Linked DNA regions of Coturnix japonica. The protein of the gene in region 2 interacts with the protein of the main gene of each other region in a biochemical or structural test. Links are inferred from orthologs where the notes say so. Each region holds a gene or a part of one and is shown on either strand. Other genes may lie near its edges.

Evidence for each region.
Region 1: the proteins of SMARCA5 (region 2) and POLE3 form a complex in vitro, tested with the Homo sapiens proteins (2 studies listed by BioGRID). The link is inferred for Coturnix japonica from reciprocal best matches to the Homo sapiens genes SMARCA5 and POLE3.

The regions. Positions count from the first base shown.
Region 1 is NC_029532.1:781,293-797,981, reverse strand, and holds POLE3 (DNA polymerase epsilon subunit 3), read right to left. Parts: upstream 7,382-16,689; 5' UTR 7,312-7,381; coding exon 7,246-7,311; intron 7,171-7,245; exon of another isoform or gene 7,110-7,170; coding exon of another isoform or gene 7,053-7,109; exon of another isoform or gene 7,036-7,052; intron 6,970-7,035; coding exon 6,884-6,969; intron 6,699-6,883; coding exon 6,580-6,698; intron 6,091-6,579; coding exon 5,930-6,090; 3' UTR 4,953-5,929; downstream 1-4,952. Other genes in the region: ALAD (delta-aminolevulinic acid dehydratase), read right to left, coding at 19-107, 337-420, 789-924, 1,413-1,509, 2,625-2,675, 2,836-2,983, 4,723-4,786; RGS3 (regulator of G-protein signaling 3), read left to right, coding at 10,379-10,490, 13,009-13,059, 13,786-13,844, 14,413-14,507, 15,348-15,416, 15,703-15,763, 16,266-16,386. UniProt on the Homo sapiens protein: Accessory component of the DNA polymerase epsilon complex. Participates in DNA repair and in chromosomal DNA replication.
Region 2 is NC_029519.1:26,883,679-26,898,950, reverse strand, and holds the end of SMARCA5 (SWI/SNF-related matrix-associated actin-dependent regulator of chromatin subfamily A member 5), read right to left. Parts: coding exon 15,211-15,272; intron 14,085-15,210; coding exon 13,963-14,084; intron 13,883-13,962; coding exon 13,730-13,882; intron 12,334-13,729; coding exon 12,201-12,333; intron 11,530-12,200; coding exon 11,381-11,529; intron 11,143-11,380; coding exon 11,023-11,142; intron 10,776-11,022; coding exon 10,665-10,775; intron 10,146-10,664; coding exon 10,032-10,145; intron 9,874-10,031; coding exon 9,751-9,873; intron 9,601-9,750; coding exon 9,468-9,600; intron 8,500-9,467; coding exon 8,381-8,499; intron 7,299-8,380; coding exon 7,086-7,298; intron 6,654-7,085; coding exon 6,543-6,653; intron 5,622-6,542; coding exon 5,556-5,621; 3' UTR 5,321-5,555; downstream 1-5,320. Other genes in the region: NCR3LG1 (natural cytotoxicity triggering receptor 3 ligand 1), read right to left, coding at 879-2,408. UniProt on the Homo sapiens protein: ATPase that possesses intrinsic ATP-dependent nucleosome-remodeling activity.

The DNA.
Region 1 (16,689 bases), on a different chromosome or scaffold from region 2:
CTGTCATTACATTCTCACCTTGTTTCCCATGTCGTTGGAGATCAAAGCCTTCTTTATGGCTGCAATGCGCCCATCCATCATATCCGAGGGGGCAACGATGTGGCAGCCTGCGGAGATAACAAGCTCAAGGCTGTAACTGCCTGCAGGAGGAGCTGACCCTGGGCATCTCCCTCGTACTGTTGAAGGTGTCCAGAGTCTCCGTAGCTCCTCCAGGGTTGGCAGGTGGATGCTTCCCCAGATCAGTGGAAGCCCTCCCATTGAAGCCAGGTATTTGCTTTTGGGCTGGCTATAAGTGACAAGAGCCTTGTGTGGCTGCTGCTGCGAGGCATTGCTCACCTGCTTGGGCATAAGCCAGTGCCACTTCTGCTAGCCGCTGGCAACTGGCCTCATTCTGGATGGTGCCATCTTCCCGCAGGATGCCTGGAAGAAAAAGTGCGTCAGGCAAGAAGCAGAACAGTGAGATGATGGCCCTGATCCTTGGAGTTCTTTAACAAGCTATAGAGATGCTCAGAGCAACAGTGGGGAAGGTGTTAGAGCTGGATAAAGAGGGGCTGAGCAGGAGACTAACAATGCAGTGCCCACAGATGGGACTTGACATGTGAGTGCTCCAGGAAAAGGATGACAGTGACGGGGGATCCAAGCTCAACACAGTGCTGGGAAGTCTTGAGGCAGGTGCTGGCCAGGCCCCACCAGCACCCAGAAATCCACATGAGAAAGCAGAAACCCTCAGGTGCTCCAGGTAAGAGGAAGGTGCCTGAACAGCACCCCAGCCCCCCATACGTGCTCACCGCAGTGCCCGTGGGAGGTGTAAGGACACAAGCAGACATCACAGGCAATGAGCAGCTGTGGGAACGTGGCAGAGATCTTCCTGATGGCCTGGATGGCAGGTGTGTCTTCTGCATCTGCAGCAGAGCCTCTTTCGTCCTGCAAGAAGAAACATGTCTGAGCACACAGAGCTGAGGGCCTCCCACCAGCTCCTCCATGGCCACAGGTCAACACAGGGAGTGTTCCTGAACACACTGTCACACTGCAGTGAGGTGTGATCACCAGTGGTGGAAAAGGGTGACAGAGCAGTGACACTGAAATGAGTGCAGATCTTGGGGCCTCTCTGCAATGGCTCCCAGCGCAAGACTGGGTCAGGAGGAGCAGCACTTCTCAAGCTTCCATGCTGCTCTATGAAACGCAGAGCTCTCTGCTCTCATCTCACCACTCACACAGAGAAATATAGCAGAGGCACCCAAACCTATTGGGATCATTCTGGGTGTTGCTGTGGTTTCCCATCTACATCCTGCTCTGCGGAATGGGCTGCCACAACCCCAAACTGCCCCTGTTTCACTGGGAGACCCTCCAGCCCCACAGTGATCCCCCACAGCTCTGCAGACCCCTGCCACCACCTGCTCATGCACACTGACCTTGGGGACCTTGCTGGGCACCCCGAAGATGAGCACACACTTCAGACCATCCTCAACAAGGGGCTGCAGCATCCCCTCCAGCTTGTTGACTCCATACCTGAGAAAACCAAAGTGAAGGTGTGCTGCCAGGCACCCAGACCTGCCCTGGGGGATGAACTGGACAGGAGCCATGATTAAGGCTGACCTGGACACCCTGCATCACTGCCACAAGGCAGAGGGGGCTGTACAGGGGCAGGGATGCTCAGCAGCATAAAGCAACAACTTGAGTACCCTCAGTCTGTTCTGCTTTGAGACCAGCAACTTTGTGATCCAGCAAATATACCATGAGTACACGCAGTGCCAGCACGCAGCCCTCTGACCTGAGCAGTGCACCAGTGCTGGCCAGGCCCTGCCTGCTGGGACACTCAGGGATGGACCCGAGTTAATGATTAAGTTGGATGCTGGCGCACACCAAGCAGCAGTGGGAGATACAGGGGAGGTGCTGCTGGAAGGAACAATCCAGACCCTTATCTGGGGCAACAGCACAGTTATCTACAGGCAGGGACAGAGCAGGGAGCCTTACGCTGTCTCTGCTCTGAAAGGATGAGCGTGCCCTGCCCTTGGATCCTTTATCTCAGCTTTCCCATTACAGCCCTCAGCATGCCAGGCCTGGGCTCAGTAGAGCACGCAGGGTGCTGGACACCATGCCTGGCACAGCACAGAGTGCAGGCTCTGCTTTATTCACTCTGCTTGCACAACCATGGCTGAGTGCCCAGGACCAGCAGATCAGGAGCTGGGAGCAACAAAGTCCTGTGTGCCTTCACCAAGCTCCAGGAGCCCTTCTCACACTGACCCACCTCCCACTGCCCAACAGCAATGGCTGACGTGGAAAACCTGCCCAGCACACCCTGCCCCTGGGAACATCCCACTCTGGCCTCTGTCCAAACCTTGCAAACGTAGCATGCAAGGCTGAATGCAGGACAGGAGTCCACATGCAGTTGCTGTTGGCCTCCCTGTTCTCTTCCAGCTTCTCTGTGTGCCCAATGGAACCCTGGCACCACCCAGCTCCCCCATTTTGTCCTCCTTCCTGCTTTGAGCAGAGGGATGTTTCCACCCTGCTTGATGCTGGGGGGATCCCCAGGGCAGGGATTATGTACAACAATACAGGAGTGTTGTCCCTGTCTTGTGCACATCTCTGGCTGCAAAGCAGCTCCTGGTGGCTCTGGCCCTTACCTGGCTTGTCCAGGGAGGCTGGCAATGGGCTCCACCGCATCAGGGCTGTCACTGCAGAGGGCAGATGGGACAGAGATGTGAGCACTTGGTGTCAGAAGGGAGATGGGCAGGGCCCAGAGCACAGCCCCTGCCCCACACTTGTCCTGTAGTGTTATGCCCAGCCAACCCCAGCTTGGTCTGTCCCCAGTCCAGAGCACCAGGGCTCACTCACGTGACAAAGATGGGGTAGATAAGGTTGGAGGCATTGAAGGTGGTGGCTGTGCACTGCCACGAGCGCAGCACGGGGTGGAAATAGCCACTGTGAAGGAGTGAATCTGCCTGCATCCTGGGAATGCACAGGGAGGTGGTGAAGAGAGACCCTGAAACAGAAGGAACAAAAGCAGGAGGTCAGGGGCTGGCTGCCACTGAAGGACTTTTATTGCTTTATGTCTAGATCAAATCCTTGCCCTGGAGGTTACCAGCCTGAGATGAACAGGAAACGAGCCCTGCTCACTGGGAATCGCAGCTGCTGCTCAACTGGTGACTGTGAGATGGGGAAAAAAGAACGTGATGGCCCCACATGCTGCTCTGCTTGGACGGCTGGGAGCTGCACTGCATTCCCCAGAGCATTTGCTTCCCAGGCTGCAGGGATGAAGCAGGAGCTTCCGCCCCATAACCCAGTAAATGCCATTCCTGCTCTGCTAACATCAGCTGCAGGCTGCACACCGCCCTGCGCAGCCACAGGACGTGCCCGTAACAGTATTTTCTTCTTCCACACCTCACTAATAGTCTTGTGACTGGGCAATTTACATGTACATTTCACAACAGCAAAGCCCTGGCTCACCCAAACCACGCTCCCTTTGCCCTCACCACAACGCTCAGCAGCAGAGCTGGGCAGGACATGGCTCCATTCCTCCGGGAAACGTTAATTGGAGGCGTTCCTATGTGTTACACTGGGAGAAGCTCAAAGACCCTTCAAATATCCCAACACGGAGCCAAGTTGTTCAGCTGCACCAGACTCTCCCACTTGAACCAAGCTGTGTGCATCCCTGGCTTGGGGATGGAGCAACCTCTCCCTTACTTACACAATGACATAAAAGGACCATAAAGCACCATGATGATGCTCACAGTGTGGAACACACAGGCTGTGTCCTGGCCCAGACCCGCTCCATGCCCACACAGCAGAGCCCTTGGGAGGCCGGCAGTGCCCGGGCGCAGCTCCAGGCAGCAGAACAAAGGGCTCAGTGAGCACAGACACCTCGAGAGTCCAGAACATGCTCCAGGCTCTGATCCCACGGAGGGGGATGGCTGGGAGCAGAGGCAGCAGCTCCCACTGCGCTGTCAGGGGCAGATACCAGCCCCAGCCTGCACTGCAGGAGCGGGGACGGCTTGTCCAGAGGAGATAACAGCGCTGCTGGGGGACCCCCGCCCCTGGGCCCCCATAGGGGAAGCTGCTCCATGCTGCCACTGCTCTAAGGGCAGCAAGGAGGGAATGGGGGGCATCGCCCACAGCTGAAGCACAAAGCTGAGCTCCCAGGAGACACAACGGAGCTACACTAATGAGGGCGGGTTAATTAGCAGTCAGCAACAAAGGGCAACGTGTTCAGAAGGGTTTTATCTTGCAGATAGGATGTGGAAGCGCTGTGCTCACACATGCAGTGACAGCAGTTGGCAGCACTCTCTGCTCGGTGCCTTCCCCACGTGTTCTTCCCTTCGGACCTCAAACCAGACACATCTTTCCCTCAGCTCCCCCCGGCCCGTCACAGCCACACGCCGTTACCGAACCCCCGGTGCCCGCCCGGTCCCAAGGGCACAACCCGGCTCTATCCAAGGTCTGTCCGTCCTTGATGCCGCCCTGGGCCCCGCACACCCCGACACCCGCCCGACCGTCTCCCCCGCCCGGCGGCGCTGCGGTTGCGCCGAGCCCGTGGGTGACGGAGCCCCCGGGGCCGAGCAGCACCGCCACAACGGGCCGGGCCCTATGGACACCTCCCGGCCCCGTAACGCTCCGTGCCGATCCGGGCACTGCGGGCCGCTCTCGGTGCGGTGTCGCCCGACTCCCCGCAATAACCCCGCAGCACCGGCCGAACCGCGCTCAGACCCGCGACCCCGCGCTCACCTGCCGCCGCTTCCCGCCGCAGCACACAGCCAGATTTGCATAGCCCCGCCCCCCTGATTTGCATATCACAAGTCTCGCGCGGCGGAGCGCGGGAAAGGGCTGGCGCGCGCTTGTCTTGGCGCGCTCCCGGTGGCGGGAATTTGGCTCGTGGGCGCTGTGTGACCTGAACCGCAACGCACTCACACCACGAACAGCTCATGGATTAACCATGGAAATCAACCAGTCAAGACCCGTAAAGAATCTGAACTTTTATTTAAATCCTGGTCCGGGACGGGATACACCCCAACAGGTACCAGAAAGCTCAATAACATGGAATAAAGCCCCCAGACATAGAAGGAAACCAGTAATGCAGCACCCAGCAGCACCCAGCAGCCTGTCTGCAGGAGCTGCAGCTCCACAGAGGAGGGGAAGGAGCTGAGACCATCAGCTGCAGCACAACACACACTTGCTGCAGCCTTTTGCTGTTCCTCGGACATAATTTTGCAGGTAGCTTTGCTTAAGGTCGTTCATCAAAGTTCCCTCTTTGTCTCCAAGGGCTTGAAAGACACAAAACAGCATTTCTGGTATAGATTCACTTTGGAAGCACCTTCAAGTCTTTTTTTGTTATTATTCTGGTTCATGGAGGGGAGGAATTCAGCTCACTGACCCTCGTACTGTGTGCTGCATCCAGCTGGTGAGGCTGAAAGAGCATCACTGTGAAAGAGCAGGGGAGAGAAGGCACAGCCAGAATGCAAGACAACGAAGGGAAAAACATCACTTAGAGCTTGAACAGTCAGCTTCTAAGGCTCTCAACATCATCACGTAGACTCTAAACCCTGAGGGGTTAATGAGCCAGGATTCAGCTCTCCGCTTGGTTGAGTGAGCTTATTCATAAGCTCTTTCAGGTTCTCCAGGTCACTTCAGTGCTGAGCCATCCGACATTGCTCTTTTTTCCCTTTGTTTCAGAGTCAATCCAGCATAAAAATACCAGACCCATTACTGTCTGTTCAGCACCTGGGGAAGCTGCCAAGTCCCCTGCGTGCAGGGAGGTGAGGCACCCATGAGAAATGCTTTAGCCAAGTCCTTTGTGTACAGGCTAAAGCCAAAGAGAGATTCCAGAAGAACAGTACAGAGCTCTACTGGAAACCAGACGGGACATGGCCAGATTTCTTTACAACATTTATATCCCTAGTAACAAAACCCAACCCTGAATGTCCCATTGGCAAGCTCAGTTGTCCACCTCTTCCTCATCATTTTGCTCTTCTTCCTCCATCCTTTCATCATCATCATCATTATCATCTTCTCGGCTCTTATCTTGTTCCTCTGAGTCTGCCTTCTTGTCTTTATCTTTTCTCGCTTCTTTCTTTCCCTTCTGTTCACGTCTGTAAACTACAAAGAAAAAGAAGAGTGAAAACCTGCAAGCCGGTGTTTCCACCACGTGAGCACTACAGCAGCTGGGGCCCAGTGTCCACTTAATGAACTCACAGCAGCAGCTCCCCCTATTATTAGAGCTGTGCTGTCCAGCCCGTGAGAAATCAGGTGAAGTTTCAGCAGATAAATGCTGAATAGGACACAGGATTTCACATGTGCAGGCAACACCTACGACTTCCCTTACACAGACCTAAGAGGGGACTGATAGCAGATAAGACTTTCTCAGTTCTCATCAGTGGTGAAATGTTATCCCAGCTGTTAAGGTGCACATTATTAACATCCACACAAGCTGCAGTGTAAGATGCCAAGCAAAGAAGTATTTGCAAACTCTTGCTTTTTTGCAAAGTCTTGTTTTTACAGGACAGACAATTAAGTGCTGCTTGTCTGATGTAAGCAAACAGAACTTGGTGCTATGGCAGCTCCGTCCATAGGGTCACAGGCCGATACCTTCCAGGGATTCCTTCAGAGGAGCAATAAACCGCTGGAACTCCATTTCCTCCATGGCAGAGAGCACATCGCCAGCATTCAGCGTCTTCCTCTTCCCCTTCATGGCAAAGTTATTCGCACTGCTCAAAAACAAGAAGAGTTAATGGATAACTGCCATCATTCACTCTTCTTTATTACAGTTCTAAACGTGTCCAGAGGGGGGCCACAAAAATACACGATGGATGCACACCCAGCAACGAGCCCCAGCCCAACCAGCAGAGATCTGAGTTACTAACAGCAGCTTATACACACAACAAGCTCTTACCATGAGGTCGCATAGAGCACGAACACACTCGCTGCTCGGGATATCGCACTGCGGGCTTCTTTGGAGATGTTCACCCCGTCGGGCAGCTGGGAAGCAAATAAAGACCCGTTAATCGCTGCTGGGAAGCAAATAAAGAGCTGTGAACTGATGCTTTAAAGCAAATAAAGACCCGTGAACTGATGCTGGAAACCAAACCCAGGCCTGTCAGCTGCTGCTCCGAGCACATATCGGTTCTGCTGTGGCACTGAGCTCAGCACGGCCCTCAGGTAAGGCATTACGAGCAGCACAACCCCACAACGAGGATCTATGAGGGACAGCGAGGTCTCCGTATGGCCCAGCCCCGCAGCCCGTCCCGCACCCACCGCCTCCTTGATGATGCGGGTGATGACGGCGTTGGGCAGGTTCAGGTCCTCCGGTCTCTCCGCCATATTGGGCCTCCCGCGCCGCCACGGCCCACAATGCACCGCTCCTTCCCGCCCTGCCCCGCGGCCGCCGTTGGGGGGGGGAACAATATGGCGGCGGGGGGCCAATATGGCTCATTCGGCCTCTGGAAAGAAAACGAACTGTGATGTGGTGGAACAAAGCAGCACTCCGTTATTCCTCACCACACATAGAATGTGACTTGACAGGACACACCACGCAGTACATCAGCATCCACATCCATCTTTCTCCCATAAACATGAGCTGATTGATGGCCCTTTGTGTGCTCAGTGCTCCCAGTGCCCACCATTGAGGGCTCTGACCCGCTGCCATCCACTGCCCCCAGCTCAGGAGACCCCCATTGCTCATAAAGCCTTGATAAGCTCAGCCTCACTAAAGCTGAACGTTTCCAGCCCATGGATTCCTTTTGCTGAACCAATAGATTGGTCACTAATCCCTATTGCTAAAGAAGAAGGTTGACCCAGTGCTGTGCTGGGTTGGTTGCTCCCGCTGCTGGAAAATGCATGTAGGAAAGCCTGCACTGCCAGATCCTGCTCCCAACTTCAGGTTTTTAAGCTAACTTTTAACTTTTTAAGCTAACTTCAGGTTGGGAGCAGGATCTGGCAGTGCAGGCTTTCCTACATGCATTTTCCAGCAGCAGGAGCAGCATTGGGGATGATGCACAGCAGTTGTGAGATGTATTAATAGCTGGACTTACAGCTCGTATTGGACACAGTAACGTGTTGTGGTGCTGCACAGCATTACGGACACACAAAGGTCAGAGCTGGAGGAAGGACTGTGTGCGTGACAGCGCTGATTGCTTTCCCACTTACAGTAATTGTGTTAATCAAAGCCTATCGTTGCGCACACAAACCGCTCTCAAATCTCGTTTCTAACTCTTCAATGTATTCTTCTGTTAACAATTCTTCTGCAGGGTCATTCGGCGGCTCTCAGGGGTGAAGTGCTGTAGCAGGTGTTGCATTACTTTTTAATGAAATAATGACCGATTGTAGCTGGTCCATTTGTAACTGTAACACACGCTGCTAATGCCCGCTTCTGGACCAGCTGGCGGCTCGCTGTTAGCAAAGCCATCAGAAGTTGATCTCTGTTTTGCCAGAAGGCGAGGTTATTTCCTATATGCATAACCTAAGAACAAAGCAAGGCAAACTTGTGTTATTGTGCAGTGGGGGTGGGCTGGAATAGAAGCAGAGATGATGTTGGTCCAGAGCCAGGGACAGACAAAGCTCCTCTGCTCCCAAATAAAGGCCAGGGAGTAATGCCAAGCTGTATTCTCAGCCCTTGCAGGCTTGTGAGCCCATTCACACCTCTTCTTCCACATCAGTTCTACCAGGGTCCACCGTAAACCACTTCTCAGAGCAAGTTATGAGTGAGCACAAGTCAGGGAGGTCTGCAAGGTGCTCAGTGCCAGAGTCGAGGGCAGGTCCTGTTGGCTTTATTAGTGCTGGCTTGAAAAACAGGAAGAGTGTGAATGTTCACAGAGCTGAAAGCAGGACACAGCTCGAATCAGAGTCACTTCAGTGATGCGGGATGTTGTCACAGGAGCGTGTTTTCACTGGCTTAGGTTTGTTTTAGAGACTGTTCCTGGCTGCTCTGTGTGCTTTATTTCTTTGTTTTGTATTTTTGGAAGAAAATAAGATAGCATTGCTTTTATTTCCCTCCCCCTCAAATGGTATCTTCTAAATTGTTAAGTATTATTAAGTTTTTATCCTGAAACTTAATTCTAATGTCTGGAATAGTCCCTTTCCCCCCAAAGATACATCCCCCTAGAGAACAAATAGCCACTGCAAGGAGCCTGGTTCCCAGCTCAGCACACAGCATGCAGATGTCTCTTGCCCAATTGTCTCCTGACCTCAAGTCTGGTGAGGTTAAATTATCTCTGATGAAGGTCTAACAATTCAGTTGTTCTGTCTTTAAGATCTCTCTCGGATCCTCTTTCACCATAAACTAATTCAGTAGGTTTGACTACAAAAAACTGCCATCCAAAAATTCTACTGATTGAGTACATGTCCCTGTCTGCCCAAAGAAAGACACTTGGACAAATTACGTGTTCAGGTTAAGGAGCTATTTTCAGCTGTGTGCACCAATTATTACGTTAATGCTAACTTTGTTAATTCACTTTGGAACGTTAATTCACTTTACTTTTGAAAAGGAAACCTGTAGGGTAACCTCTGATTTGCCTTTCAGACTGTTTGCCTGCATTTGTTTCGCTATGAATCTCGCTTCTGTTTGCGTTGCAGCTCAGATAGACCTATTTTTCCAGGGCCAAACTGGTGTGGCAGCAGAAAGTGATGCCCAGTTGCATGGGGTCAGCTCAGCCATTCGGTGTGAGCATGGTTTCAGTCCGCACACAGCTCAGCTCATGTGACGGGTGATAACTTTTTAAGCCTGTTCAACTTAATGCTTTGCTCCATGTGACGCCCCTGCAGAAGGGTTTCAGACATAGGCCCTAAACAATCCCATTGCTGAGAAGTGCTGAGGTTTTGTGTCTGCCCTTAATGGCAGACTCTGCTAATCCCAGAAACAGCCTTTCTGTTCCTAAAAATCTGTTGCCTGGGGAGGCGGGTAGTTCTCCCCAATGTGATTTAGCTGCTTGATTTTCAAAGCCAGCTGTAACCTTGGAGGTTTTCTGTGTGCCTGTGGTACCCTTTAGCCTCTCAAAGCTGTCTAAGCACGTGTTTGGATTTGAATACCCAGCCAAAGGCAGAGCCCGGTGCTGGCAAACTGAAATCTGTGACGGAGAACAGTGTTAAACTTTAAAAGAAAGCCATTAACTCCCCAAGCCAAGCAGCTGAGTGTGCAGTTTGCTGGAAACTCTGGTAGAAAAGCAGGTGAAGGTCAGACTCCAGGGGTTTGAATGTTAGGAGGGAAGGAGCTGCTAAAGTGCCTTTGGGAGCCTGTAGGGAGCGGAGCCACAGCATTCATCACAGCTCCCACCTTTTCCCCGTGCACATTCTTGACTTCCAAGTGCTGAAGCCCTGCTTTCTTCGGACATTTCCACTCCTTTTTCTCCCCTTATTTTACAGTAGTACCAAGCAGCTGAATCACAGCCCTCGGATGTGGGGGCTGCCAGAGGTGCAATGCAGGGCAGTGCGAGCCTGCTGCCAGAGCCAGGGAGCAATGCTGGGCAGGAGGAGGAAGATCAGTCCTGCACGAGTGAAGGGGAAAGGTAAGGGATGGGACAAAGGGAACAGCAGGTGGGCTTGGCCCTGACCAGCTTGTCTTTTTTGGTCACTTCTGAGCTGATAAAAGTGGCCAAACATTGAAAGGGAGCACAAGACAGGGACACGTGTACATGTGTGCTGTTCTGTGCTGCTGGAAATGTCTCTGGGGCACTTTGCAGTCAGTGTGTGTTGATAGAAAGATGATTCTTGCAGTTGCTTTGTATTTTTTTCTCACTTTCTGTGACTGGTGAGCTGCAGCACAGCGCCTGGAGCTGCTGGGTGCTCTGCTGGCTGCACTGCTGGCTGCACTGCTGGGTGCACTGCTGGGTGCTCTGCTGGGTGCACTGCTGGGTGCTCTGCTGGGTGCACTGCTGGCTGCACTGCTGGGTGCACTGCTGGGTGCTCTGCTGGGTGCACTGCTGGATGCACTGCTGCACTGCTGGGTGCACTGCTGGATGCACTGCTGGGTGCTCTGCTGGCTGTTCTGCTGGGTGCACTGCTGGATGCACTGCTGGGTGCTCTGCTGGCTGTTCTGCTGGGTGCACTTCTGGCTGCACTGCTGGCTGCACTGCTGCACTGCTGGGTGCTCTGCTGGGTGCACTGCTGCACTGCTGGGTGCGCTGCGGGCTGGGCCCTGTTTGCTCAGACAGGTGCGGCCTCCATTCAAATCCTGGGATCCAATGGGAGCCGCGCTGTGCAAACGCAGCGGTTGAAGCGTGTCCCTTGGAAACGCCACTGCTGAGCAGCCCGTCCGTCCGGGCTGCAATTCATTCAGCTTCCCTTGTCCTGACGGGGAGGGCTGCAATTGCTGCTAATTAGAGCTGTCCTGCCATGGAGCCCGGCAATGTGCACAGGGTCTCGCTCTGCACCCGCCGGGCTGAGCCCCTGGGAGCTTCCTTCTGCCTCACCACCTTCGGTAAGCCATGAGCTTGGGTGATCCTTATATGGATCCCTTTCAATTTGGGATATCCTATAGTCTTGGCAGCCCACTTGTTTTCACGGGCCCACCATCCGTGGGGAGATGTCGCTGGGCATACGAGCTGCCCCCCCTCCCCACGCACTACAAGGCACAAAGGCTTCCTTTCTCCTCCCCAGCATCCATTCATTACCGGGCTGACTCCTGGTCATGCTTGGTTAGATGGGCATTTTGTGCTGTAGTGACTGTTAAATGCTAATAGAGGAGCAGCAAGTTGGTTCCCACGGGGCCAGAGACCTGCAGATTGCAGAGGGTTCAGTCTTGGCTCTGAAGGCTTTGGTGGCTCGAGATTCTCAGTGTCATAAATTGGTGTGAGATTAAAAAGATGCATCCATTTACCCACCTGGAGGAAGGCCTGAATTGTCTTTCTTGCCTTAGATTCACATGTGTATGTACACAAGTGCACATGGCTGAGCACTCAAGCACATGAGTTGGAGAGAGATCTGACAGTGTTCTGTCAATGGTGGTTTTTGTTGAGTAGAAGGTGAGGTGTGAGTTCAGTGAATTGTTTCAGGTTAAACCCTTGAGATATCCCCACCCCTGCAAAAGCAAGATCTTGGGTGCGTCTATGACCGAATGAAATGCTGTTTTGTAATTGAAATGATGTTTATATGTGCATGAGTGATGTTTACCAGTTAGTTTGTTGTTTCTTTGAATGCCAGGAAAAGAGTGTAAATGGGCTGTTTTGCTTTGGACTGAAGAAGATGTTTTGCCAGTGATATTTTCCATCTGTTTGACTTTTGGTTTTGAGTTGATTCGGAACAATTATGTGAATGTGAGACCCCCTAAACTCTGCACATCACATCCAGGCTGGCAGCAGCTCCCTGGGGTGTTGTTCATTGGGAATCTCACATTCCACACCTCATTGTGTGAGATTTTGTGCCAGTCCGAGCACTGGAGCTGGATTTCAGGGTTAATGTGGAGTTGCTCATGCATGGGAATGGGAGAATCACTTTGCTGGCATGGCAAAGCCTCAACCCCATACTCTGTGACTGCTTGGAGTTCAATGCTGGGAATCAGCTGCCTGCAGACAGGTCTGGGCAGTGCCAACAATCACAAATTGCAGCTCCAGATAAGCAGTGGGAGCCTGGGGTTCTGACATGGGAGTTTTGAAAGGCAGCAGAAGCTTCAGGTTGGGTTTATAGACATGTAAGAACTGGGTTTTATTCTTGGCTCTGCCATCATCTGTGTGCACGGTGGGCAGTGGGTGATGTGGTGTTCAGCTGTGGGTGCTGTACCTGTGTCTTTGGGATGCTCCTCTGTGTGTATTTTGGAAAGAATGCGCCCATCTTGTCTCTGCAGGAAGCTGTCTGGATTCAGAGGCCAGTGTGGGTCCCCCAGGGTTTCAGCTGATGCTGTCCTAGGCACACAAGTGTGAGTCTGGATCTGCCTGTGGGGCTCATCCTGGGAGCGGTTCCCAGCAGGATGCTCAGGTTGAGCCACATCACCCTGGTCTGAACCCCGCAGAGCTCTGGTCTGGTGCTGTGAACACTGGTGACAGCATGAGGGTCCTACCTCCTCATTCTCTCTCCTCTCTTTTCTCCCAGGTCAGCTGAAGCTGTCTATCGAGATGCGGGACCGCTCCCTGATGCTGCATGGTGAGCATTGATTGCCCTACGGTGTGTGGAGAGGTGGCCCCAGAGCCATGGGCACATTCCATATGTACAGCACTGCCATTCCCTCCTCCAGATCCAGGGGACAGCATTGTGGTGGCTGTTGGGAGCAGCTCCATCAGTAGAGCAGTGCTTTGGTTTAGTGCTGTAGAGGCCCTATCTCGTGCACCACAGTTTCTGTCAGGGTGACCTCCCTTGTTATGGCCATGCATCCTGCTCTGACAAAGGCAGAGGCACTGCTGCCTTTCTCTACATGTTAGGAGTGAACTCGGTCTCACTCTGGCAGCCCGTCCTGCATTATCTGGGCTCTGCAAAACAGATATTGCCTCCAGCTCCCACTTAGGAAGCACAGTGTCCCCTGTTGTTAGCACTGGGACGAAGCTGGGACCCTGTTAGCGGGGCTGCTATCAGGATGTGGCCGTGGATATTTTACTTGATGATACATTTGGCTCCAGGGCTGAGAGCACAGTGCAGAGGCAAGTCAAGCAGATGAAATGCTGTTTGCCATCTGAGCGCTGCATTGCATCTGCTGCCAACCTCACCCACAAATTCCAGAATTTGTAACAGGGTTGTTGTAAAGACAAAATATGGCAGAACCCCTCCCCTGTTTAAGGCTGAGCTTCTAGGGAGGTGTGCGGGGTCCTGCAGGGAGGGAGGTGCAGAGTTGCTTTGCTGACGCTCTGGGGCCTGACTGCTTTGTTTCCTTTCTAGTCATGGAAGCAAAAGGTCTGATGGGGACAGAGCACCGGCCGTGCAACTCCTATGTGAAGGTGGGTTCTTCCTGCTCTGTTGGGGCTTTGGTGTTGACTCTTCTAAGCATGATCCCTTCTGTTTCCTTCTTGGGCTCCTCTACCCTACCCTGGCTGAGCAGCATGTGGGGAGGTTGCTGGTCTCATGGCTGGGATGATGGCTTTGTTGATATGATGCCTGCACAGAGCCAGAAGAGCAAAGGAGAACTGCTGAGATGGGCTATGAGAGGCATTCAGGGGTGAGAGCAGCCCACTGGGCAACCAAAGGAGCAGTGCCCTGGCTGTCCTGTGGTGTGTGCAGTGCAACGAGCATCTCCTCAGCGAACAGGCTGCAAGTCAGAGACTGACCAGCACCATTTTCATGCACCAGTCCCTGATATTGTGCTTTTTTCCTTCCACCACCCTCTAAGGAGTTTTGTAACGTGGCTGTTTGACATACATAATGTAAAGTGATCTAAGCTACCTGTGAGCATGGGCTCAGCCAGACCTTTGAGGCTCAGCCACCTGTAACAGTGGCTGTGCTGCTCTCCTGTACTGGTGCTGAGTGTTACTTTGAGATGGCTGATGAGCTGCTTGCTTCCCCATGCAGATGTCAATTGTGCCAGATGCCGACTGGAAGTGCAGACAGAAAACAAAGACTGTGCCAGACAGCAAAAACCCAGTCTTCCACGAGCACTTTGTCTTGTGAGTACAATGGAGCAGGGATGGCTACGGCTCATCCCCCAGCTCCCACAGAGCAGTGGGGAAACAGTTGTTGTTGTCCTGGGGCACCCTCTGGAAGCTGAGATGATGTGTTTGCTTTTACATTATGATCCGTAATAAACATGCATCACGCATGAACTGCTCTGCTGCTGAGATGAAGAGTGACAGGCATTATTCTGCTGTTTTTTATAGCTGAAATGTCTTGAACTTTTGGGCAGAGCTCATAAAGCTGTCAGCACACGATGTGGCAGTGGTGTTCCCGCATAGTTGGACACTCTTGCTGGGCAGGAGTTGAGAAATCACACTCAATTTCCTTGCGCTTGCAGTAGTGTTGGCACCGGTATGGAGGAGAAAGGTAAAAGGATTTCCGGTTGATCCAGCATGTCTCTGCATGGGAAAGGAGCTCTATGGCATGGAATATTTCAGTACAGCTCCTCACTGCTAGCAAACATGTCTGTCAGGCCTCCATCTTCATGTAATATTTAATCTGGGTCAGAATGTTTGCTTCATAGCTTGCACAATTCCTTATTCCTTGTATTTGTCTATTGATTTTGGATGTTGTCCTTTTGCATGATACCTCCTTAAAGCATTGGGGCAGTGTTGTCAGCACCTGGAGCACTAGGGGAATTCACATCCCTGTGCTGCAGTTTGTCAGGAATGAGTACATCAGTGCAGCAGTGCCTTGATGGAGGAACACCAGCTGGGGTGATGCTGCAGGGCCTGTGCAGGGAGTGGAGAATACCTGGTATCAAGGAGGTGTGGGTCCCTGTGCTGGGCTCTGCTGGGCAGAATGCTCATGGGCTCCCCTTCTGCTTCTTGCAGCCTAGTACAAGAGGAGGATGAGCAGAAACGTCTCCTGGTCACTGTCTGGAATCAAGAGAGAGATTGCAGGTATGGGGCTTCTACATTGCATTTTGATCTTTTTAGGACAGAGCTGTCACTGCAGTACATCTGCCCTCTGCTCTGGCCACGCCATGTGAGCTCCTTGAGAGCAGGACCTGACAACAAGTCTGCTGCGCATGGGGAATTCAGGCTGCTCTACATGCAGACTGCTGGAGAGGAGACACGGCCCTTGACATCCTCTGTCTACTATGCTGCTGCTTGGTGGCAATGGTGGCAATGGTCCTTGGGGGAGGTTCCAGGTATTGCTCACTGATGGTCTCTGACTCTCTTGCAGGCAGAGCAAACTGATTGGGTGCATGAGCTTTGGTGTGAAGTCCCTCCTGACCCTGGACAAGGTACCTCCATCTGGAGTGCTGTGTGTGGGAGTGGGTTGAGCAGGTGGATGCAGTGCACCTTCAGGGCAGGAGCAAGGAGCAGCTGGCTATTTGCATCAAGGGGTAAAAGGACTTTGAAGTTGTATATATAGGGAGAAATATAGAAAATATAGGGGTGTTCACATCTGAGAATGTTCCCGGTAGCAGCGGTGCTGCAAGGTGCCTCTGTGCCACGCTGTGTCCCAGCTGCTGCAGGTCTGTCCCTGCTGCTGCCCCGGCCTGGCTGCTGCTGGGTAATACAGCTCTCACATCGCTGGCTTTGCCTTTCTAAAGGAGGCTGCAAAGCTGCCGCTGTGAATGACGTCTGCTGATCCACTGACACATTGAAAGCTTCCATCTTAGCCATTGGCAGTTATGGAGATTTTATCCCTGGACAGCCCAGAGCAGGTGCTGACACATCAGACAGAGTTAAATGGGATGGAGTACCTGCCCCTACACTGAGAGCTTCTTTCCCCCCATGCAGGAGATCAGTGGCTGGTATTACCTCCTTGGGGAGGATCTGGGCAGGACCAAGCACTTGAAGGTGGCTGCACGGCGGCTGAAGAAGATCAGAGGTGCGTCACCCTCCAGAACAGCCTGCGAAGGTTGGCATGGTGTGGGAGGGGTGCTAAACTCATGTCTATTCCTGCTGTGGTGTGGTGCAGCCACCAGCCCTAAGGAGTCTGTGTCTTCACATTAGATGCTATGGTCAGTGGGCGTCCTGGGAGGATGTGTTGGGGGACAGCAGGGTGAGGGAGTAATGTCCCCCCAGATGTGCAGCCCTCCTCACAGCTGTCATCATGTGGGGCAGCCCCAGCCCAGAGATGATGTTCCCTAACACATAATGATGTTATTTATGGTGTGTGGATGTGGTGGTGGGGGAGAGCTGCTGTCAGGAGCTGTGTGCT
Region 2 (15,272 bases):
TTTCCTTTGTGATTTGGGGTTTTCCCACTCAAATGCAAATAACAGCTGACTTTCAGGGCTCAGAGGTAAGCAGAAGAATGCATCCTTTAGATCCAGTACGGTAAACCAAGCCAATTCACTAGATAGTTTTGTAAGCAGTGTATATGGGTTTGCTACCAGAGGATACAGATCCTCTACTATTTTATTAGTTGCTCTCAGATCCTGCACTATATGGTAGCTCCTGTCCAGTTTCTTAATCGGGAGTATTGGGGTGTTACATACGTTTAGATTCACATTCCACTAATAACCCATGTCTCATGAATTTATCAATTAATGGTTGTGCTCCCTCTCTATCTTCTATCCTTAGGGGGTATTGTTTAATTCGTGGGGGTTGAGCTCCTTGCTTTATATTAATTACCACAGGAGGGGCGTTTTTTGCACGCCCTGGGGTTTCCGTTGCCCATACCCCTGGATAGACCTGATTACTAATTTCCTCAGGCATCCCTGTATTCCCTGGGGTTGTTATCAATGCCAGACTAAGTACCTCAATTAAAGAATCATCCCTTACTTTAAACCGCATCTTTCCTGCCTCAAATTTTATTTCTGCCCCTAATAATTCTAAGAGATCCCGTCCTAAGAGGTGATGTGGTGAGTCAGGTAGGTATAAAAATCGATGTATCCCTACCTGCTTCCCCAATTTATATTTCAGAGGTTTAAGGAAGTAAAGCCTTTTCGGGTTGACCAGTGGCCCCTTTTACAGTCATAAATTCTTTACTTAATGGAGTTAATTCTTCATTTAGTACTGAGCAGGCTGCACCAGTATCTATTAGAAACTCCACGCTCTGCTGTTTACTCCCTAGCTTTATCTTAACCATTGAATCTGCTAGGGTAGATTCGCCCTAGCAGTCCTTTTCCACCGGGGCTTGGATCTTATTCCATGCCCCCCCTTTTTCTTTCTGTTTTCTCAGCGGGCATTCATTTTTCCAGAGCCCCTTTTTCCTGCAGAGGGCGCACTGGTCCTTCTCCAGGGGCTTCCTCACTTTGTTCATCCCACCCTTTCTTGTTTCTTGCAAAGCTGTCATCAATACCTTTCTGTCCTCTCTATTATCTACCTCCTCCCGATTGCTAAACACTCTCCAAGCCTCCTCTAGCAAACTTTCCAAGTTCCAACTAGCTGGTGCTCTTAGTTTTTGCAGTTTTCTTCTTACATCCCCTGCAGACTGCCCTGTGAACAACGATACGAGCTGCTGTATGCCCTCTTCAGACCTCGGGTCCAGGGAGGTATGTTTTCTCATTACATTCCTCAGCCTTTCAAGGAATTCCGAGGGAGTCTCCTGGGGACCCTGTTTCACTTCAAATAATTTAGACCAGTTCACTGTTCTAGGGATAGCTCTTTCTACTCCCTTTATTACCCATTCTCGGTATCTCTCCAAAAGCTCCCTTCCATGTTTTGTATTTGGGTCCCAGCGAGGATTTTGTAATGGGAAATGGTCTTTAATGTCTTCATTTGTTCCTTGCAAACTGTCCTCAGTGAGGGTTTGTGCTGTTTTTAAGACCAGTTGTTTCTCTGTTTCGGTCAGCTGATCTAACAGCAGCTGAATATCATCCCAGTCCGGATCATGTTGTCTAATTATAAACTGCAAATGTCTCGCTACCTTTAGTGGGTCGTCCCGGTAGTTTTTGCAAATCTCTCTCCAGGATTCTAAGTCAGGTAAAGAAAACGGGACTCTGACTAATATTATTCCACGTGGCCCCACCATCTCCCTCAGCGGGGCTATTACTAACGGCTGTTGCTGTTGCCTCAGGGTCTGTGAGGCTACAGGGGAGGCAGGAGGTGCCGAGGGCGCGGGAGGAACAGGAGGATCAGGGGGCAAAGGAGGGTGCTCAAGAGGAGGCACCTCAGGGGATCTTTCTAGTGGGGCTTCTTCACCTATCGCCCCCGCTGCCCAGGGAGCCTGGAGATATTCCGACAATTCTTCAGGCTCCCTAACCTTGCCTGTCTTTGTGCACTGCTGTCCGATACTACAGGATGAGCAGCAGCGTTTTATTTTACTTTCCCCTGTCTCACACCGCTCTTTCTCCACAGTTAATACAAATGGATCTTGCGGCGGCCCCATCCCACATTCTTTCTGCCACTCGGGATGGTTACGGAGGGTGAAAAACATATCTGCATATGCTGCCTCATCCCATTTACTCTCTCTTCTCAAAAAGAGCATAAGCTGTAACAGTGTGTTATAATTTACAGTTCCATTCAGAGGCCACTTTTCCCCATCCTCCAACTTATACACCAACCACCACTGATTACAGTATTTAATCAGAGTTTTCCGGCTCAGGGTTCCTCTTGATTTCCCAGCAATATCTCGCCAGTGTGCCAGTATACAACCCAGGGGTGTGCGCTCAGGGACCTCTTTTCCCTGTGATCCCCCCATCTTAACTCAATCTATCAAATCTGATGAAACTTTATCACACTTAGACCACAGTACTATCTTACAATAGAGGTAGCACTACCCCGACTTTAGTTGCGGTTTACCTTTTCCCACCCCCTGTATGCACCTTATGATTATGTACTTTACAATGGCAACAAGACAAGAGCAAACACACACTGAAAAACAACGTATATGGCTTTTGCTATGTCCGTCCCCAGCAGTTTCCCTCGTGGGAGGATGGAACCGTGGGTCGGGACTCCGCACTCGCCCCGCAGCTGTTCTGTGTCTCACTCACACCACACTCACTGACATTTCGAACAGAACCGGGGTATATAGCGTTTGTTGAGCTTAACCAGAATTTCAAGAATAACAGTGTTAGCTGTTGACTCAAATCACAGTACTGGTAACCTACAACAGATTGCAGAACCACATACAACACAACGTGCAATACTAGTTATCCCAGCAAGGATTACCCAAACTACCCTTCAGTAAAATGCCCATCCACGCATACAACTTACTGGCCCCTTTGTAGGAACTCACCCAAGGAGTCTTCCTACCCCAGCTGGCAACCAAAGCCATGAGCTCACGTTTCCCGGGGGGAGCTTACATGCTCCTTCACCCCCTGCGCAGGACGTCTCCTCACGACTTACGGGTTCCCCGTTTCACATACCTGGTCCGCTGATGGATGGTCCTTGTCTGTTCCTGCAGAGATCGGATGAGGAAGGGGAGTCCTTCCGAGAAATCTCGGGGCGCGCCAAAGGCGTCCCCCTTCTCAGCTGGTCCTGCAGCCGAACAGAGGAGGTCCCATCTGGGGTGCCAAATTGACTTGCGGAATCAAACTATAGCCTGCTAGGATACAGGGCCGGTATGATTTCATAAAGAGACGCGCACACAGCCCTGGCGCAAGGGGTTAACACTCCAAACTCGCGCACCGTAAAGACAAAGTGTGTTACAGATATAGGCCGAACTAATACATAATCAGTAGTCTCCCCCCACCCCGTGTTTGGTTACATATTCATTACATTCCCCGCGACCCCATTGGTGAATGGGGTCTCTCTCTCCGTCCTCGCTTTGGGATGAAGATTCCCCTCCTGCTGCTGTGAGAGCTCTTGTTTTTATCAGCCTTTGTCCTTGCAGGAGGAGCACCCCCACATCAGTGTCATCTTGCCCTGTGAGTATCTAATCACCTTTCTGCAGGCTGCCTTCGGGCTGCTCTCACACTCCTATCTTTATGGCCTTCTTCCCCTTGTTTTCCCAGACTTAGTGTCTGCAATTCCCCTTTTCTCTGCCCCCCTTAACACAAACTATCTGCAACTACCCTTTGTCTTGGTTTCTGTGAGGTCCCTTCCCCTTTCTGTAGCAAAGTGTTCCCTTTCTTTTATTATGGGGCCCTTTTCACCCTTCACTACAGATGCAGGTTTTCATCACCTTTTTTCAATTCAAATGAACAGTGAATCAGGAAACAGATGCTCTGCTGGAATTCGGAATAAAGGGGGGCTAAAAGGAGGATAGTTAAAGGTAGTTTATAGAAAAATGATTTAGTTAGTTAGGAAAACAAGTAAAGGAAACAAGGGGCCTGGGAGAGCAGGAAGGATGCAGATAAGGAGTGAGACCTCACGGAAGACATCAGGCAAGGAGGAGAGTAGATATTGTAAATACCAGGAGTAGCATCCCCCTGATAAAAACAAGAGGGGGTCTGCATGCTAAAGAACTATTGAATATGTATCAGAATTCCGAGAAATCATTGACTATGTATTAGATGTACCTATATCTGTGTCACGATTTTACAAGTCGGGGTGCAAGTTTGGTGGAGCTATCCCCCTTGCACCCGGCGCTGGAATAAACATACCTGCTTTATAACCCATCTCTGGATTATAGAGTTTTATTCCTCAAGTCAGTTCCACTAAGAGCTTTGTTTAGCCTGCCGGTAGGCTATCAGTGGGTAGTTTCTTATACGTGAATGTGGGTTGCCCTCTAGTGTCCGAAAAAGCTTACTTAGAGCTGCACTGTGAGAACTGTGTCAGTGCAAATATTAATAGGTAAGAAGTACTGAAGCCCACGATAAATTAGTTGTAACAGTCCTGGAACATGGCTATCAGGAAGTGCAAAGGAAAATACACTTCAACTTAGGTAATAACTGGCTTTAGTAATTTCAGATTGACTGAAAATACGTAAAGTGTATCAATCTGGTTTGCTGGAATCTGAAATCGGTGGCTGAGCGATGGTGGATCCAGTTCAGAACCTCAGTGACTTCTTCAGCTTCAGCACGGTGAACATGTTAGCAGTGTGCCCAAGAACAGCCCAGAGAGTGGGAGAGTGTTGTCAGGCTGCCTCCCCCTCTTCCTGCACAAATTCAAGGTTCTGGTATGTGAAGATAGGCATTAAGACCAGAGCGTTGGGTAGTTGCAGTCACCTTTCTACATTTCCACCAGAAAGAAACAGGCTCTTTTAGAACACAGTTTACCTGACCTACTTCAGAAAGCTGTGTTAAAAATTAATCTTATCACCAAGTATGTATTTCTGCCATCTAAGGAAGAACAAGCTTCAGTGTCACTTACTTTTACGCTGTTACCAATGGTAAGCAAAAAGTCAGTGTGATTTTGTTCCTGTCTTGCTGTTCATTCATTCTCAAGTGAAATGCCTGGCATTACCTCTAATGTCAAAGTACAGAGTATACTTGTGCATAAATTAGGTTCAATAATGTTAAAATCAAAGCCACAGAAATTCCAAAAAGGGGGGTTGATTGGTGATGGCTCTGCAAAAACCAAACCAAACCCAAGAACCCACCTTACCTGTTCAGTGTTTGTAACACTGTGAGATGTTAAACAAAAAGCACAAACCCTGCCACTCTGAGGTGACCGAATAAATAACAGGTACTGAGGTAGGAAAAAAAGAAAAAATAGCCAAGTAAAGCATTATTAATAAATGAAGTCTATTTATTATTTCAAGTGTTAATGGTAAAAAAAAGTCAGCACAGCTGTCGCATTTAAAAAAGTGAAACTACATTAAGTACTATGCTTCTAGTTCAGTAAACAGATGAACCCGATGTCCTTTAATGACATAATAGTTGAGCATTATACAGTACATCTTATGAAGACCCGTAAATTAAAGAACTACTTTTTAAATTTAGTGATTATAAAATTTCCGCATTCACAGCTTTAGCTTCTTTTTTCTTCCACGACCATCAGGAGTGCCGTCCATTTTGCGCTTCTGTGCCTGGAAGGGAAGTTTTTCGAGTAAGTTAATGTGACAGAAAAAGATCCATAAGCACGTTTTGAGCCAAAACAGATGGAGGTGGTTTAACCCGGGCAGCTTTAGAAATGTGATAAATCACAAATGCAATGTGGCAGACATACACATCCCACTCCGGATAGCAGCTGTCTTATATTCTAACAGTTCTAGAAGGGCATAATTTCATAGAGGAAAGAAATGTTTAGAAACAAGTAAGGATGTTATAAAGCTTCCTTACTTATAGAATAATAGCTCTAGGCACCACTTCTATGGGCCATTTTAAGCAACAATTTTAACAACAAAATCCAGGCAAGAAAACAGGTGATTACTTCTTTTACAAAAAAAGACCTGTGTGTTTAGCAGTACTTTGGAGTACTTACTATATCAAGCACATGCACTTGATTTCCCAAATCTAGATCTTGGAGCCTCTACACAAAGAGAGTGAAGGCAGGCTCTAATGTCTAATTTGTTAACACACCTGTAGCATTCTCAAAGTGAACTGAATGGTTTGCACCGCCTGCCTGCATATCCTGCTTTGGGAAACATCTATTTTGTTATGGGTAAAAATTAATGGAAAGGCTAAATAAATCCCAAGTTTATTTTATAAAGGTAAACTCATACGGTCTACCAACTCAGCCATCAAAAAACAAGGCAACCTTAGCTGTTCCAGGTGCAGTTTAGAACCTGTACTTTATTTCCCATCCACTAAGGGTAATAGCTGAGTAACCGTGTGAACTTTAAGCAGCTCTTAGCACTACCCTATAAGGCTTTTTGTTAGATGCTATTTTAAAGGAATTTTAGATATCACTTTGCCCATACAATTAGAAAAACCAACTGTCTTCAAATAAGTGGTTCACAAAAAATAAAGCACAACCAAAAGCAAACCAGCATCTTATTAAATCTTACCGAAGATGGTTTTGGTCCACGTTTCTTCTTTTCTGCCTTTTCCTTTTCTTCCAGTTCCATGTTCTCTCTTTCAATCAGGGTGATTAAAGTATTGCATCTCCTTTGTAGCTCCTAAATCACAATACAGTCACTCACTACTTTAAACAGCCACTCAGTGTAAACAGCATCATGTCAGAACACTACAAATACCTCTAAATTGTATGTTGTTTGTATTTCATGCAAATCCTTGGGAGCAGAAAAAGGAATTAAATACTTTATGACAGTCATTATCTGGCTTCACGGGAACGGGTTTGATCACTGACGCTGGCTTTTAAATCAAATCTATTTTAATTCAAGTTCATGTTTATTGTGAAACACAGCCGTGACTTGAAATGTGAATTTCATCTCCCATGAGAGTTGTAAGATTACTGCATTTACCATCTTAAAATCATTGAAAAGTCTATAAAAATTGACTATACTGTATGTATGCACACACCTGCTGCATAACTGTGGTGTGTTGGTGCGGGTGTTCACAGGGAAGAAGCACATGAGATTAATACATACCATTGCAGTTCTAGACTTGAGAAACCAGTCAAATCTGAACTGGGGGGAGTTTCGGATACACTGTCTTAACTCATCATAGACGTTTTCTTTATCAAATCCAAGCTTGTGAAGCATACAGATTAAAAAGCGATCTTCCTCTTCAGTGTAATTCTTCCCTTTGTTAGTACCATACGATATTCTCAGCTGGTGGAAAGGGGCTTTGTATCTGCCAATCTAAGTGAAACAAGTAAAATATACACACTAAGAAATCGTGTAGAATTAGCATAGAATTGTTTTCTATAAAAGCAAAATAATCACGACAGGCAATGATTTGCAGAAACAAACTCTATAGCCTGTTAGGATATAAAGCAAGTATGTTTAATAAAGAGATGTGCACACAGCCCTAGCGCAAGGGGTTAACACTCCAAACTTGCGCCCCGTAAGGAGAAAAGCGCATTACAGATATAGGTCAAACTAATACATAATCAATAGTCTCCTCCCCAGTTTGGTTACATATTCATTACATTCCCTGTGACCCCATTCCCTTTGCCGTTGTTTGGGTGAAATTCTTCTTCTGTTTACCTTTGATGTTATCTGTTGTTCTTGCTGTTCTTGCTGTTACTGCCCTCACACATTGGCATCTTCCCTGGTTTTCTTTAGACTAAGTGTCTGTAATTCCCCCTGACTCTGCCCTTTTAATGTAAACTATCTGCAGTTACCCTTTGTCTTGGTTTCTGTGAAGTCCCCCTTTCCCTTTCTATAGCGAAGTGTTACCTTTTCCTTTATTCTGGGGTTTTCCTCACTCTTCAGCAGATGAACAGTACCATGTTAGAAAACTAGATTTCTAACATCACCACACCGTAGACTTTCTAGACATTGAATTTATTAATATTATCTAAACAAGCAGTTTAAGAAAAGTTTGTTTGATAACTGCATGCTGCAGAACGGACACTACATGTGAAAACTGTCGAAATCTGCCAGTCTGGCTGCGATTCTTTTTGATCAGGATGGTCAAAATCACAGGAAAAGTAAGGTATGTGGCTCAGCTGAACCTGAGGTTATCATCACAGCTAACAGCCAAAACAGGAACTTTTAACCCACCTAAAGCATTTAAATTCAGAAGTAGAAACTGCAAAGGAACTGTGCTTCTACAGAAAAGGAAAAGGTAACAACCACTGAGGAATATGTGAAAGACAGCAATATGGTGCCCAACAATGTCATCTTAAAGTCCTAATAACATAGGTAACATGGGTAGAGATAGAGCACACCTTACTGGCACATGGAAATAAGGGCAGCAAGAAATACAGCACAGATACCTTTGTGTCAAGTGCTTTTTTTATGCTGATTCGTCTCTGAATTCTGGCTTCTCCTCTTTCTATCTGAGCCATGATCTTCTCTATGTCTTGGAGTTCGTTGCACCTTTCCCAGAACACAGCTAAGAGAAGAAAAACTGGTTAGATCCTTTTCATGGCATTAGGTGTTAGCCTTAATAGACAGCAGATGTTATTCCATTTTACCAGAGCTCACTGCTGTATAAAAAAGGTCGTGCCTTTACCTGATAGCTAACTTCGGTGCCTGAAATTGTGTTGCAGTATTGCAAATACTAATTTGAAGACGGTAGATTTAGGAACCTCCATTTTAAAGGAGGTGTGACATAGGCCAAAAGTCTAATCTTGTTAGCTAATCTTCTCAAAGCAAGAAAAAAAAGTCTTAGAAGTCTTAAAATTGGAAGTGACAAAATAGCAGTACAGCTTTAGGGAAGGAAATGGAGAGACAGTGTAAGTAAGTAGCCAAAGACAGGAACAAGTGTCTAAAAGTCAAGTAGCTGTTTAAAAAAAAGAATGTCACATCATTATGATGTGCAAAAGAATGTACACCAGCAGCAGTATACCAGTAGTTGCTGAACCTTGCAGCTGCACTCCACAGAAGGCATTTCTCTGACAGGCCAGGGCTAAGGGGCCAACTGGTCCTCAGTCACAAAACCAGTGGTTGTTATTCAGTCACAATATTTACATGCTCTTATGCTTTAACAATGGGATGTTCATATTAAAGGTATAATGATTTGAGACTGCTATTGTTTGGTGAAAATAAATCTCTCCACCACAACACTTTTTGCTTAGTAATGCCTTCTGTAAAACTTAGTAAGAATTGCAACCAGCGCTATCCAATTAGAATATATTAAAGGATGTCAGTAACTGCTTGTGTGCAAGTCTCAGTACAGCTTTAACTATGCAGGGGCTAAACCTGCTGAAATCTGTATCAGTAGAGCTCAACTCCATCAGTACAATTCAGCGAGAGACTTAAAAGAGCCCCAGAAGTAAGGTGGTCAGCATGTTCACAGGCATTTTAAACTAGGAAAGCAGCATTAGATACAGAGTAGACTGCGCTTGAAAAATAAGTTACCTGAATACTCAATTACTTCCTCTGGGGTTTTTCCTTCTACTTCTCGTGCTATATTTTCAATATCATCACGGCCCCACTTCTCATTAGCTTTGATGAACTGGTTAAAATCCCTCTTATTCCAGTTGGTAAATCCCTTTGCAGCAATTAAAAGCAAACATTGCAAAGTTCAGGATTTGTCCATCTCCACATTTGTTTTAACAGAATTTTTTTTAAATGTTCATATAAAGCAGTAAAACAAATCAAGCTTTAGATGATGTCAGTGTCATTAAAGAAACAACCATACCTGGGTTAGAAGCTTCTCTTTTTCTTCTAGTTCTTCGTCATTAAGAGGTTCAGCCTCATCAATCTTAAGCTGCTCTTCCTTTTGCGCTTGGGCTGCATTTGGAAGATCAGGATTACGAGGTACCTGAAAGGTTTTACATTTAGTAAAATTTGATGACTTTTCACAGACGCTAGCAGCCTCTCCGTTAATACAGCCTAATCATCTGTTCAGCTTCATGTGAAAGGCAGGACAAGTATGTATAACCCTACTAATGTATTGATGCAAGGAGTGAATGTTATTACCTTGTATCCAATTGTTTTCCTGTAGTAGAGAATCTCTTTTTCCAGTAGTTCAAAGAGCCGTGGAGGAAAGAACTGAAAGTCCTGTACATTTGGCTGTTTTGGAGGCCGTGGTGCCTGAAATACATAAAATGACTCTATTTGTCTCCTGTTCACAGCCAGAATTTGAGCTTAGTTTGTGAGCAAAAAAACCCTTTATTTTTGCCAAAACATACTGTCTTTACTTATACGAAGGTCACATTAAAACACCATGCAAGTGTCCACTACAACATGAGGACTTCTGCAAGTAAAAAGGTGACAAGAGAAGACAGGGGAAGAGATTGGTGGAAAAAGACTCACACGTGCACCAAATAAGCATACAGTCCATAGGTAAAGAAAAACAACTGCCACTTAAAAAGCAAAGTCAAGTCTTCACCCTCCTGAACTCTTACATTACAGGTTTCATCACTCTCTTGCTCTTTCCCCATATAAAATTCTCAAATCCTTTGAATTTTTCTAAAATTTAACCCTCTAAGTGCCACCCCAATTTATGAAAGCAAACAGAGTGATATTAATAAATTAAGGCCAATTTCTTGCTTTCAGCTTTAACTTCCCACATCTATCTGATCAATTTATTTTTAATATTAGTCAACTCACCTTGGGAGCTTTTGGCTCACTGACTCGCAGAGCCTCTCTAAAGTAAGCGTCCACAGCATAATTGGCTTTCCTTTCTCGTTTAGGGGGCTCAATCCACTCTGTAAATGCCATCTGTAAATAATAATAATAGTAATAAATAAATAAAATCCTACTACCCCCAAGAATTATCAAGACTAAGTCCTATATAATATTCAGTCCAGCTATTAATTTTATATAAAATGAAGAGCACATCTACTTTATTAAATAATTTAAATTCAAAGTTGTTTATGTAGTTCTCTTGTATTTTAACCAACACATTTTAAAGTATGGCACAATCTTGCAGATCACTGCTTTCCTCCGAAGGAAACATGAAGGTTACCTTCTGTTTTTCTCTGTAGTCCTCCCCTTCAAAATTATATACGCTGGATTCTGTATCCATTGTGAAATTCCTGAGTGAACTTTCACCCATCTTAGAGAGTTTTTCATTCATTTCTGCAGTCTGGGGGCAGGGGAGAGAGAAAAGAATATTAACAATTTAGAAAAGTGCTTTCAAAAAGTTACAAAAACTCAGTTGCAACAGTAGGAAAAAAAAAAAAAAAAAAAACCAATATAAAACTTCTAAGAACAACCATATTTTTCTCCAGCTTATAATAAAGCTGTCAGCCAGCAATATATGCCTAACATCTAAGTTTACAGGGAAGTGCCTTTCTTTGCTTTTAATACTTCATTTATCTCACCTTTTTTGCACCTCTTTCCAAAATGTGATCTATATCTTCATCTGTAATCTCACTCTCCTTGGAGGCAAACACGTGTGTCGCTCCATGTCTGATCATCTGCAGCATTTCATCCTTCCCAAGTTTATTCAAATTTTGATCCACCAGTCTTCCTAAGAGAAAAGCATTGGAAGGTAACAACATAAGGAGGAACAATAGAAGACTTCCCCCTTCCCTTAGCCTTAAATTGAAAATGCATCTCATGCAGGGAAATTCCATGTGGGAAAAATAAATAAATAAATAAAAAGCCAGCAAAATCTACCCAGGAATGACATACATTTTGTTTCACAGTACATTAGTTGCATTTGAACCATTTTGGCTGTTCTGGTGCATGGTTTTTTTTTGGTTGATGGTGTTTTGTCTTTTTTTTTTTTTTTTTTTTTTTACAATTTCAAGACAAAACCTTGTTGAATAATCTTTCCATTATAGCCTATGTATGAGGTTATATCCTCACCACTTCTCCCTGCATATTAAATAAAACCAAGGTCTTACTTCTTCCATTTCAACACTAATTTTCTTAAACAGAATAATTTAAAAAAATGACATCTGTCTATATCCACTTTATTTCTGGGCAAGTAATCAAAAAGTTAATGAGGAGAAGCCTACCCCTGTTGTAAGTTTTCAAATGGATCAGGTCTTTGCACTCCATCTTCAGAGTACAGCTGGGGCAAAAGCAACATTCCCATTAACATTCACTTGATTTCACTTCTTTAATTGTTGAAAACAAACAAAACAAAAAACTCATCCTGTGTACAAACTTAACTAATTGCCCCCATATACTTGCCTTGCTGAATGACTATGGAATCAAGGCGGAGCTTCATCTCTGCACGCTCCACTATCCTTTCTTCCACTGTATTGTCTGTGATAAATCTGAACACTCTTACGGTCTTTGTTTGACCAATTCTGTGAGCTCGATCCTACACAAAATAACATAACAAAAACTTAATGCTTTAACCCAAATATATAATTACCATCAATTTAGTTAGTTTCAATATACTAGTTTGTAACACAGAATAGTGTAGGCTAGTTGCAGCTTTATAGCAGTCCAAGTAGCATGAGTACCCAAGATAGCATGTGTTGTGGTTCTGTGATTTTTGGTATCAGCATTCCACATTAGAACATCATGCAGAACCGTGGCAGCTAAAGAGTTCATGTTCTGGGTCTCCAGAGCGGAGCCCAGCCACTCTCTGCCTCTGGCCATCTCAGCTTACCGCAGAGAAAAGCACATACTTTCCCTCGCACTGTCCTGGTTCGACTCTTACTTTGGGTACTCTTGTCTCTCTCATTTGGTTGGACAACACTGTTCTTTGCATTTCAAGTTGGTGTTGTTTTTTTTCTTTCTTTCTTTTTTAAAGTAATCCCAATAATAACGAAGTCTGTAAACACAATTTTCCTCAAAATAGCCCGGGGTTCTTTTGGTTAAATACCAAAGGGGAAGATTGGATATTTCTGGCATTAAGCAACCTCCTGTAAAACCAGAGTACCTTAGCAATTGTCTCTGTACTGACCAAGAGCTACCTTTCTAAAAACCATTCAGTCCTTCTATGAGTATTTGAATAAAAAAATACAATGCAACCTCACCTGACTGGCAAATCATTAACCACTACAAGAATTAGTATTCCAAACATACACCTTTAGTGGTAATTTGAACTACATCACTTTGGCTTTCAGGCATTGTTTTCATCATTCTCTTAAACTATTTTTGCTAGAACACTTGAGAACATACAATCGTCACTGAAAGACTTCATTTGCCAATTAACATTTGTAGGTTTTAAATACCAACTTTCTTTCTTTAGCCATCATGAACATTCTTTGTCAATGTCCGGAGATGCATAAAAATTTACTTCAAAGAAAATTACAGCAAATTAAAGTTGGTTGCCAACAGGAGCTTGCACGTTTATTAGCAGCCAGAAGCAATTTCTGAAAACTCTAATTCAGGTTTTTATTCACCTCTTTTCTAAGGTTTCAGTGGAGACAGTGAAAGTACATTGAACTTGACTCCTCAGAGAAGGACGGTTTATAGTTGGGAAATTAAGACATGCCATTAGTTTAGTTTTTAGTGAAAGCAGTCCTCTTTTACTTTACTTTTAAACACTACTAGGAGTATCATGGCCCTTCCCCCCACTTGAATCACTGCATAGCCCAAATGTGACTAAGCTGCACTGGAACTGAATACTAAGTCTTCAAAATACTACTTCTATGCTAAAACAGGAGAAAGATCACTTCAACCTTAAAAATGCCACCACTGTATAACACACACATTTATAAGAAAGTTACATGAGGAAAAAAGAACATTTGTATCTGGGTTCTTACCATAGCCTGAAGATCTACTTGTGGATTCCAGTCTGAATCATACAGAATTACAACATCAGCAGTAGCCAAATTGATTCCAAGACCTCCTGCCCGTGTACTCAACATGAAGACAAATTTTGAGCTACCAGGTTCATTATACGCATTAATAGAAGCCTGAATAAAGAGAACATTATCATCAGTTGCACTAAATGTTTTATAAATGCTGTTTTTGTGTAAGAGAAATACTTATATACCTGTCTTTCGTCGTGAGGCGTTTGTCCGTCCAGTCTACAGTATTCATAATTTCGCCACATGCAATAATCTTCCAAGATATCCAGAACTCTGGTCATCTGGCTGAAGATTAAGACTCGTGAACCTGTTTGGGATAAAAAGCCTTTATGTTTTCTCCAAAGCTTAAGCTTCATCAAACACTCCAAGTTGCCAAATTAGAAAGGGAAGGAGAGCAGTTGCATATACCATGAACAACAGTAGTTATAATTAAAAGTCTGATTTAAAAAGTTTTCAGTACTATACATACACATAAAATAGAATATGTTGAAAATATGCTATTTTACTGAGCAGCTATAAGAACGTGAAAGAATTAGCAATCCAGTGTGACTTCAAACCCTTCTGTATATTACAGAATGCAGAGCTGCAGAAGTTGCTATCAAGTACTGCAAAGAATTCCCAATGCTTTAAACACAATTATTCTTTAAATACAGTGCATATTCACTGTTCAAATGACATCTAAATAGGATGACAGAGACACAGCTGTGGTGATCTGCATCTTCCACCTGAATATTCGTTGGATACTAAACACAAATGACTTTTATGTTATCTAAGGCTGAGGTTTGGATTTTCTGTTTTTCAGCAATGTCTCCCCAGTCACAAGTTTTCCTCTGCTTCTTTGGTGACTTAACAGTAATATACTCCATAGCTTTGTCCCTGGTAAAACTTAAAAAATTAAAATTAAAAAAAAAAACAAAATAGCTGACGTGTTCCTCCATGTTTGTCTTGAGGAATCCATTGAAAAAACTCATATGCCGTACAAAGTCATATCCTGAAAGAACAACACTGCACACAGGATATGACTTTAACCCAACGTGAAGACTTGGAATATGAAATGGTACACGATGGTGAACCAAAGCAGTGGCTAATATACCACATCTTTATGTTACACATAGCCAATGTTACTGAGAAACCAAACCTAAAGCCCAGACCAACTGATGCTTCTGTGGCCTCAGCTTCCCTGGAAAACAAACTTACACATACCAAAACCTCCTTCAGAGCCACAAAAAGCTGTAATGGACTGTCAACTCAGTTATTTATGAAGACACTATCAATTATTTAAGATACAGTGCTCAAGAAGCTGGTGTAATGCTTAGAAATCAACCACAATCCTTCATAGCGTGCTCCTTTTTGTGCAGGAGACACGAAGACTCTGATTTTCATTTTTATACCTGAACTGAACAACACCTAAAAAACAACGAAGTGATGCATACCTTGCTCTTTCAGCTTTGGTAGTAATTTGTCCAGTACTACCATCTTGCCACTGTTGGTGACT